Linked DNA regions of Saccharomyces cerevisiae S288C. The gene in region 2 interacts genetically with the main gene of each other region. Each region holds a gene or a part of one and is shown on either strand. Other genes may lie near its edges. The genes, in order: RSF2 and YBR096W.

Evidence for each region.
Region 1: mutations in YBR096W (region 2) and RSF2 together harm fitness less than expected from each alone (positive genetic interaction), as found in Saccharomyces cerevisiae (one large-scale study listed by BioGRID).

What each region holds. Positions count from the first base shown.
Region 1 is NC_001142.9:657,871-664,938, reverse strand, and holds RSF2 (Rsf2p), read left to right. Parts: upstream 1-1,879; coding exon 1,880-6,022; downstream 6,023-7,068. Other genes in the region: EFM3 (protein-lysine N-methyltransferase), read left to right, coding at 1-939; YJR128W (uncharacterized protein), read right to left, coding at 1,659-2,018; VPS70 (putative zinc metalloprotease), read left to right, coding at 6,250-7,068. UniProt on the Saccharomyces cerevisiae protein: Transcription factor that regulates expression of both nuclear and mitochondrial genes, and more specifically those required for glycerol-based growth and respiration.
Region 2 is NC_001134.8:434,160-437,213, reverse strand, and holds YBR096W (uncharacterized protein), read right to left. Parts: upstream 1,194-3,054; coding exon 501-1,193; downstream 1-500. Other genes in the region: ubiquitin-binding serine/threonine protein kinase VPS15, read right to left, coding at 1-263; RXT2 (Rxt2p), read left to right, coding at 1,516-2,808; PBY1 (putative tubulin tyrosine ligase), read right to left, coding at 2,917-3,054.

The DNA.
Region 1 (7,068 bases), on a different chromosome or scaffold from region 2:
TCTAACGATGTCCTGCATGCATCGAGATTTGTTTGTGAGATGGAACTTGTGCAAAAGACGAATGCATATTATTGCAAAACCATAGTCAAGATGCTCTTAGACCACGAATGGATTTTCGCGAAGGCATTCACAATTGTCAACGATGGCGAAGACGAGATAGAGATATATGATTATCTCTATGAGAAGTACATAAAACTATTAAGCACAGGCAAGCCAGACCCGATGATGAAAGACGTCGTGAGGTACAGGTTTGACGAGGACGTAAAGATCAAAATTGAGGAAACACCGAATTTGATCAGTGCGGCCAGTACTACAGGTTTCAGGACATGGGAAGCTGCCTTATACATGGGTGATTTCCTTATTCATAAGCCCTTACAAGAGTTGGCACCGGTACAAGGACAAGACGATGGCAAGAAAAAATTAAATGTTCTTGAGGTCGGCGCTGGCACAGGCATAGTGAGTCTCGTCATTTTACAAAAGTATCACGAGTTCGTAAATAAGATGTACGTCACGGATGGTGATTCGAATCTCGTTGAGACGCAGCTGAAAAGAAATTTTGAATTGAACAATGAAGTGCGTGAGAACGAACCAGACATCAAGTTGCAAAGATTATGGTGGGGCAGCGATAGAGTTCCTGAGGATATAGATTTAGTAGTGGGGGCAGATGTTACGTATGACCCAACTATCCTTCCTGATCTATGCGAGTGTCTGGCCGAATGTCTTGCTTTAGACCGATGCAAACTGTGTCTCCTATCCGCGACAATTAGAAGCGAATCCACTGTCCAACTGTTTTCTCAAGAGTGCAATAAACTCGGGCTAAAATGTACCATAGTCACCAGCACAGAGTACGACGCAAACAACGAGATCCGCGCGATGAAAGCCCTGCAATTCAAACCTTTGATTGCACCCATACGGATCTACAAGATCACGAAACAATAAGATACATGTGCAAGTACAAGTTCAAAAATAAAACATAACTAAAAAAAAAAAGAAAAAAAATATAGTCATCTTCTGACACTCGAGTCTCATTCAGCTAATCAAAACAACTAGCAATCCACTCGAGTTCTTATAAATGACCCGGAAATTGATCTCTCCACATTACGCTTATCACGAATAAGACCGAGTGTTCAAATAAATAGCTCGATCTTCGTACTGTCTAATGCGGTGGATTAGTACTTTAGGACAAAGTTACTTTTTTTCGGAAGGAAACTTCAAAAATAGAATTAACAAATAAGAAGGAAAAGCGAAAAACAAATCTCATTGCCTGTGCTTTCTTTTATACTTTTTTTTTTCGCTCGGAACCTCTTGCTTATACACGGTTTTTTTCCACGGAAACCTCGGTTACCCTTCAATTACTGGAACGTTAGGGCACAATCTAACAAATATATATACTGGCTTACAAGATGTAACAAACTACGAATAGTGGTACGAAGCTTATCACATGCACCATTATCTGTAACTGGGTTGCCGCCAACAGCAGACTCATGGGCTGGTTGAAAAAATCTTGGAAAACAGAGATAAACAGCTCGGCAGATAACATTTCCTGCGACCTTAATGCTGCGTTAGGTGTAATTGTCGCAATTTGCGGCCGGCCATAGTTGTTCGTGCTACAATATATGGAAGAAGCAACTGTTTTTGAATCAACGGTAGTAACGACCTTATATCATCATACACGAAAATACGCACAGACGGGGGTGAACCACTCCAGGGGCAGAGTAGAGTGTACAAGGAAAATTGTGATCTCGCCGCACGGTGCTGCATCGCGGAAATTCTCCGTAGGGCAACGGATAAGGTAACTGCGTATGCGGCATCGACAATAGGTAACTACGCGAGCAACTTCTATTAAGAGAAATAATTTTTGGGAAATGGCCTGTTTCGGATGGAACCGTTCGCATTTGGACGAGGGGCGCCTGCATTATGCATACTAACCGCGGCCGCTCGAATAAATCTGGACAATTTTGTTCCGTGTTGCTGGGCACTTTTCCGTCTGTCTTTCTTTTTCCCGCTTGACCCTGCATATATTAGAAACGAAAACAAAGAAACAAGGACTTCTTGGATTTCCATAGAGTTTTTTTTCTTCGTTAAACATTGCCTCTCTCAACACACGTTTTTCTCGAAGACTCTTGCACCAAAAAGAAACTTTAGGGCGAAGAAGCTAAAAGACATTGGCGATACTAGAATAGATAGGGCAGATAAAGATTTTTTATTAGTGCCGGAGCCAAGTATGTTTGTGAACGGTAATCAATCTAATTTCGCTAAGCCCGCTGGTCAAGGTATTCTGCCCATTCCTAAAAAATCTCGAATTATTAAGACTGATAAGCCAAGACCGTTCTTGTGTCCCACATGCACTAGGGGTTTTGTCAGGCAGGAGCATTTGAAGAGACATCAGCATTCGCATACCCGTGAGAAACCGTATCTTTGTATCTTTTGCGGTAGGTGTTTTGCTCGTAGAGATTTAGTGCTCAGGCATCAGCAAAAACTTCATGCTGCTCTTGTAGGTACGGGGGATCCACGGCGAATGACGCCAGCACCAAATTCGACTTCTTCTTTTGCCTCCAAGCGGCGCCATTCCGTGGCGGCGGATGATCCAACCGACCTTCATATCATTAAAATAGCCGGAAATAAAGAGACTATTCTACCCACCCCGAAGAACCTTGCTGGTAAGACATCTGAAGAATTGAAAGAGGCCGTGGTTGCCTTGGCCAAATCAAATAATGTAGAACTTCCCGTCTCGGCCCCAGTAATGAACGATAAGCGAGAGAAAACTCCTCCTAGTAAGGCAGGCTCCCTAGGATTTCGAGAGTTCAAGTTCAGCACGAAAGGCGTGCCAGTTCACTCTGCATCAAGCGATGCTGTTATCGACAGGGCGAACACTCCCTCTTCCATGCATAAGACGAAAAGACATGCGTCTTTCTCTGCATCCAGTGCAATGACTTACATGTCTAGTAGCAATAGCCCCCACCATTCAATTACCAATTTCGAGCTCGTTGAAGACGCTCCGCATCAAGTCGGCTTTTCTACTCCACAAATGACCGCGAAGCAGCTCATGGAAAGCGTGTCAGAATTGGATTTACCTCCGTTAACCCTGGACGAACCACCGCAAGCTATCAAGTTTAACTTAAATCTATTTAACAATGACCCCTCCGGACAGCAACAACAACAACAACAACAACAGCAAAATTCCACCTCTAGTACCATAGTGAACAGCAACAATGGAAGTACAGTTGCTACACCTGGAGTGTATCTCTTAAGTAGCGGTCCATCTTTAACCGATCTTTTGACAATGAACTCTGCACATGCAGGTGCGGGAGGATACATGTCTAGCCACCATTCGCCATTTGATTTGGGCTGCTTCAGTCATGATAAACCGACAGTTTCTGAATTTAACCTTCCGTCAAGCTTCCCGAATACTATACCGTCTAATTCTACTACGGCTTCTAATAGTTACAGTAATTTGGCAAATCAAACTTATAGGCAAATGAGCAATGAGCAGCCGCTTATGTCACTATCTCCTAAAAACCCACCAACAACTGTTTCAGATTCCTCTTCCACGATCAATTTCAATCCAGGCACAAATAATTTACTGGAACCATCAATGGAGCCCAATGATAAGGATAGTAATATCGATCCTGCTGCCATAGATGACAAGTGGTTATCAGAGTTTATTAACAACTCTGATCCAAAATCTACCTTCAAGATCAACTTCAATCATTTCAATGACATTGGGTTTATTTATTCTCCACCTTCATCAAGGTCATCTATACCAAACAAGTCACCTCCAAACCATTCTGCTACCTCATTAAATCATGAAAAAGCTTCTTTATCACCTCGCTTAAACTTGAGTTTGAATGGAAGCACAGATTTACCAAGTACACCACAAAACCAACTAAAGGAGCCTTCCTATTCTGACCCTATTTCCCATAGTTCTCATAAGAGGCGTCGTGATAGCGTCATGATGGACTACGATCTATCCAATTTTTTCAGCTCAAGGCAATTGGATATTTCCAAGGTATTAAACGGGACAGAGCAAAATAATTCTCATGTGAACGACGATGTTCTCACTTTGTCTTTCCCCGGCGAAACTGATTCTAATGCAACACAGAAACAGCTGCCTGTTCTTACTCCTTCGGATTTGTTATCTCCGTTTTCTGTCCCTTCAGTATCTCAAGTGCTTTTTACCAATGAGCTAAGGAGTATGATGCTAGCCGACAATAATATCGATTCAGGAGCCTTCCCCACAACTAGTCAATTGAACGATTATGTGACTTACTATAAGGAAGAATTCCATCCATTTTTTTCATTTATTCATCTTCCTTCTATCATACCTAATATGGACAGTTATCCCTTGTTATTATCTATCTCCATGGTCGGAGCATTGTATGGGTTTCATTCGACGCATGCAAAAGTGTTAGCTAATGCAGCTAGCACCCAAATTAGGAAAAGCTTGAAAGTTAGTGAGAAAAACCCGGAGACGACAGAGTTATGGGTTATACAGACATTAGTATTGCTAACGTTCTACTGTATTTTCAATAAAAATACAGCCGTGATCAAGGGGATGCATGGTCAGTTGACGACTATTATTCGTCTCTTGAAGGCCTCTCGTTTAAATTTGCCCCTAGAGTCCCTATGCCAGCCGCCTATTGAGAGTGATCATATTATGGAATATGAAAACAGTCCTCATATGTTTTCAAAAATAAGAGAGCAATACAACGCGCCGAATCAAATGAACAAAAACTACCAATATTTTGTATTGGCGCAGTCACGTATCAGGACTTGCCATGCGGTATTACTTATATCTAACTTATTTTCTTCACTGGTAGGTGCTGATTGCTGTTTTCATTCAGTCGATTTAAAATGTGGTGTTCCATGCTATAAAGAAGAATTATATCAGTGCCGAAATTCCGATGAATGGTCGGACCTATTATGTCAATACAAAATAACGTTAGATTCGAAATTTTCGTTGATTGAATTGTCTAATGGTAACGAGGCATATGAAAATTGTTTGAGGTTTCTTTCTACAGGCGATAGTTTTTTTTACGGAAATGCTAGGGTTTCGTTAAGTACATGTCTATCATTGTTGATATCTATCCATGAGAAAATACTTATTGAAAGAAATAACGCAAGGATCAGTAATAACAACACCAATAGCAATAACATTGAGTTGGACGATATTGAGTGGAAGATGACTTCCAGACAACGGATCGATACAATGTTAAAATACTGGGAAAACCTTTATTTGAAAAATGGTGGCATCTTGACACCTACCGAGAATAGCATGTCAACAATAAACGCCAATCCAGCAATGAGGTTAATAATTCCGGTATATTTGTTTGCCAAAATGAGACGGTGTTTGGACCTGGCACATGTTATTGAGAAAATCTGGTTGAAAGATTGGTCCAATATGAATAAAGCTTTGGAGGAAGTTTGCTATGACATGGGTTCATTGAGGGAAGCTACCGAGTATGCACTGAATATGGTGGATGCGTGGACTTCATTTTTTACGTACATTAAACAGGGCAAGCGCAGAATTTTCAATACTCCTGTATTTGCGACCACATGTATGTTCACTGCAGTATTAGTGATTTCGGAATACATGAAATGTGTAGAGGATTGGGCACGCGGGTACAATGCCAACAACCCTAACTCAGCATTATTGGATTTTTCGGACCGTGTCTTATGGCTAAAAGCAGAAAGGATTTTGAGAAGATTACAAATGAACTTGATACCGAAGGAGTGTGATGTGTTGAAATCGTACACTGATTTCTTAAGATGGCAGGACAAGGATGCCCTAGATTTGTCAGCACTAAATGAAGAACAAGCACAAAGGGCCATGGACCCGAATACCGATATAAATGAGACAATTCAACTAATTGTAGCGGCAAGTCTATCCTCCAAATGTTTATATTTGGGTGTTCAAATATTGGGTGATGCGCCAATTTGGCCTATAATATTATCGTTCGCTCATGGTTTGCAATCAAGAGCTATCTATAGTGTTACGAAAAAAAGAAACACTAGAATATAAGTCCGATTTACAAATATATAATGGCGGCCGTCTCTATACTATAGTATTTACAGAATTAAAGCTTAGAACTATCATAACTTTCATAATATACCACCAGGCTTCAAAAAGGCATTGTTCCATTCGGAGTTTGCTTGAGTTTGATGGCCCGGGTAAAAAGGTTTGACAAGGCAAGGGGCCGTACTTATTAAAACAATTTCAACATGCACAATTAAGAATGTAAGAGATATATGAGAATGATACAGAGAGAGAGAAAGAGAGAGAAAGAGGAAGGTCAATTAAAGGAGAGAACTGTTGTTAATATGGCAGACCCTGATGACAATGAGGCCGAAGCCACTGGATTACAACAATATAGTGGCGAGACCACTCGCGATGACAATGAAGAAAGCATGAATGATTCTTTCACTTTAACATCCAGGAATAGAGGCAGAAGTAATACAATATCTAGTATTGTTAGTGGTTATGAAATAATGAAAGAACATATGGACAAGGAAAAGTTTATGTACTTGATTCTAGCGAGTCTCCTTTTGTACATGGGATTTGTTGCCGCATTTGCTCCCAGGACGTCTTTATCAAGAGACTTTCGGCGGTTTCACTCTTCCAGATTGACGAATGCAGAGGTTTATAGGATATACTTGAACTCCTTGCAACAGGAAAATAGAGCGAAAGAACATGTATACAAGTATGCTGGGTACATGAGCAACGGAGCAAGTGATTCGTCAACGTTTAAATATACCTTGGACGAGTTTCTAGATATGGGGTACAAACCCAAAGTTGAAAAATATTACCCATGGATAGGTGAACCAGTAGACACTAACGTAGCTCCTTTAGAAAATGGTAAAGTGGTCTACGAAGCAAGCATGATCGAGGATAGAGTTAAAGGTGATCCTGCTTCTCACGCTAGGAAAAGGCAAAAGGGTTTCCATCAATATTCAAAAAATGGAAGTGTAACTGCTCGATACGTGTTTTGCAATTATGGTAGCATCAGTGATTACAAGCTACTTTTGAAGAAAAACATTGATATTGAAGATAAAATCCACATCGTACGA
Region 2 (3,054 bases):
TAGTTTAAAACGTGCGGTAGTTGTCCCAACTTAAACGATTGAGCCCTTATACGTTGGAGAAAAGGTCGTAAGCTATATTGGTCTTTTGGTTTAATAAACACTTTGATAACAATTTCGCCGTTAGGGTCCAGTGCCTTGCATGTTTTTAAGAATCTTGATGAGTTTAACTGTGAAACGTAGTGTACTTCCTCTAAGACATCGATATATGAAAAAATGGCTATGGAAGGTGATGCTTGGACCACTAGTGATAATTGTGCCCCCATTATACTGTATGCCTTCCTTTTTGATAACCTTACAGCTTTTGTATTTCTCCAATTCAACTTGTCTGCTTAAGTATCTTACTTAAGATATATCTGTTTTTCATTTTTATGATGTTGAAAAATAAGGGAAATTTACCTTGTTTTCTACCGAAGATAAAATATAACGCAGACTGCACAGAGAAACTTTTGAAAGAAGATAGATTTATATATTTTATAATACCGGCTATATGTGTATAGAAGTTAGATTTCTGAACAGTACTCTTGGCTCAAGTTTTCCAATGGTACTGTCTCGTGGAAACCACAACGCTCGGTTAAAAGCTTTAGATTGTCCTCAGAAATTTTGGCGACCTTCTCATTATATAAACCACAGTATTCAAGAGCATCCTTTGGTTTGATGGTCTTTCTACCGTCCTTAAGGACGTATTTGGTCAATGATAATGAGCATAAGACGGTGCCCTTTTTAATTGTGAATCTACTCATGACGTAAATCCATTTCTCATCCCAACAGATAATCCTTGATGAAACCGAGTACTTTTGAAAAGGCTTGATTTCCTTCAAGAAATTAGTGAAAACGTTCGCAACTGGAATATATGGATAATGCTTGGAATTCAGCATCAATTTTTGAAAAATCTTGCACATGAGATTACCTCTTGAAATGTCCAATTCCGCAAAATAGGTGCTATTGCTCTTATGAAAGTAGAAGTCACATTCGAATGGAGAGGCATAGGTATCTAGGCTGGTGTACGAGAAACAGCCATATTCATTTTTCTCAAGTTTCTTAATATTCTCGGTTTCAAACCCTGTAAACATAGGCAAGAACAAGTTTTGAATAACATAATAATAAAACCTAACAAAATATGCCCCAGGAAGCGACTTATATGAAGAGAGCAAGTAAGCAGCAAAGAGCCACCTAAAAATAGTGCAAACACCCATTATTCTATTATTTTATTTTGTTGTAGATATTGGAAAGCACTAGTTACTCGAGAAACCTTTTGGAAGTCTTGAAATTAGAAGCAATTGTTTTACAAAATTACTAAAAAGCCTTTAAGCGGATAATTATAATGTTCACTTTATAACGGCGTTATTCGAAGATCATTATTGTCTCCTATACCCAAGAGGACCGAAGCCGGGTAGCGAACTTTGTTCTGGTAAAACAATCGCTTTCAAATAGAAGAAACGTTGCTTGATGACAGCATCTCCTGCAAAAAAGAGGTTGAGAAACAAATATCTCAGCTGTTGCTTCTTGTTGATCGAGATGACTATTAGGAGCAGTATGAAAAACAACGCAGAATTGGAAAGCAAGAGTGTGTTAGCTAATGAATCGAATATAATTAGCACATTTACTAGAAGGATAATAAAGGAAAAAAGCGGTAACTATCAGGTACTGAAAAGATCCCTTGATGGAAAACTAATCTATCCTGAGGCCACTGGCATATCCTCTAACAGAGGTAACAAACTTTTGCAGAGAAGCGAAGTAGTAACAAGAAGAGACTTGAACAATTCTAAGCCAATGATTGAGCAAACTGTGTTCTATAACGGTTCGGAGCATCGCCTTCTGCAAACAAATATTGTCACTGATAGTAGACGCAAAAGAATAAAATTCACACCTGACATCAACGTCGAGCCTGTTTTAGTCGGTGATGAAAACGACATCGATGGTAGTGAGAAGGAAGACGAAAATATCACTGATGAGTATTACGGCGAAGAAGACGATGACGACCTATCAAAACTAGTGAATGTAAAGGAGATTTTGACTCCCATTCTTTCCCTAGGGGATATAATAAATCATAAAACTATCTCAAGGACATTTTCAAGCCCAATTTTGAAAAATTTAGCCTTGCAAATAATTCTAATGATTGAAAAAGAACAGATGTCAGTTGTTAGATATTCCCAGTTTTTGGAGGTTTTTTTAGGAGATCATCCTGAACCAATTTATGAATCTAACTTGAACCTACCATCTTATAATCACAATTTGACCCTTCCAGAGGATAGAGGGGCAAGCGACGAGGATGACATTAACAACAAAAACAATATCAACGAGGTTAACTCGAATAGTTTGTCTACTGAAGCTGGTCATATCAATAATGGCATGGAAGAATTTGGAGAGGAAGATCCTTTTTTTGCATTGCCAAGGTTGGAACAATCTAATGCGCTGTTATCGTTGCTGCCATCTTCTTCCGGTTCTGCTTCTATATCAACATTAACAGCGGCCGAACAACAACAGTTAAATGAGGAAATTGAGTCTGCCCGACAGCTGTCGCAGATTGCACTACAGAGGAATAAAGAATTCATAAGAAACTTACAAAAAATCAGAAAGTCTGTAATAAAAGCCAATAGAATAAGAGGTAGGATTTTAAATTGGAGTCGGGAATATTTGGGTATATCTGACGATGATATTACTATCCCGGTGGCTCTACGTGTTGTGAAGAGAGGTCTGATCAGTGCTACAACAAATAAGACAACAAATTTTGAGGAAGAAATTGAAAATACCATGGAAGACGGTGTTGTAGACGATAATGAACCTGATGAAGAAGCTAATAGAGCCTAAATTGACAAAACAAAAAATTTCGGAAATAAAATCAAGGCATATGTATTATTTAGCACTATTTAGTAATAATAACAGTATTTTAGGATGGGTTCTTTTTTTTTTTTTGTTTCACCAACCGTTTGAAGTGTAATCAATGACTTTTACGAAGTTCGGGTCTGTTTCATCATCTGTCTTATTTCTATTCTCGTTAAAGATGGGGGTAACACAGTATTTGACAGTGTCATCAAATAATTCATCAATGAGGTT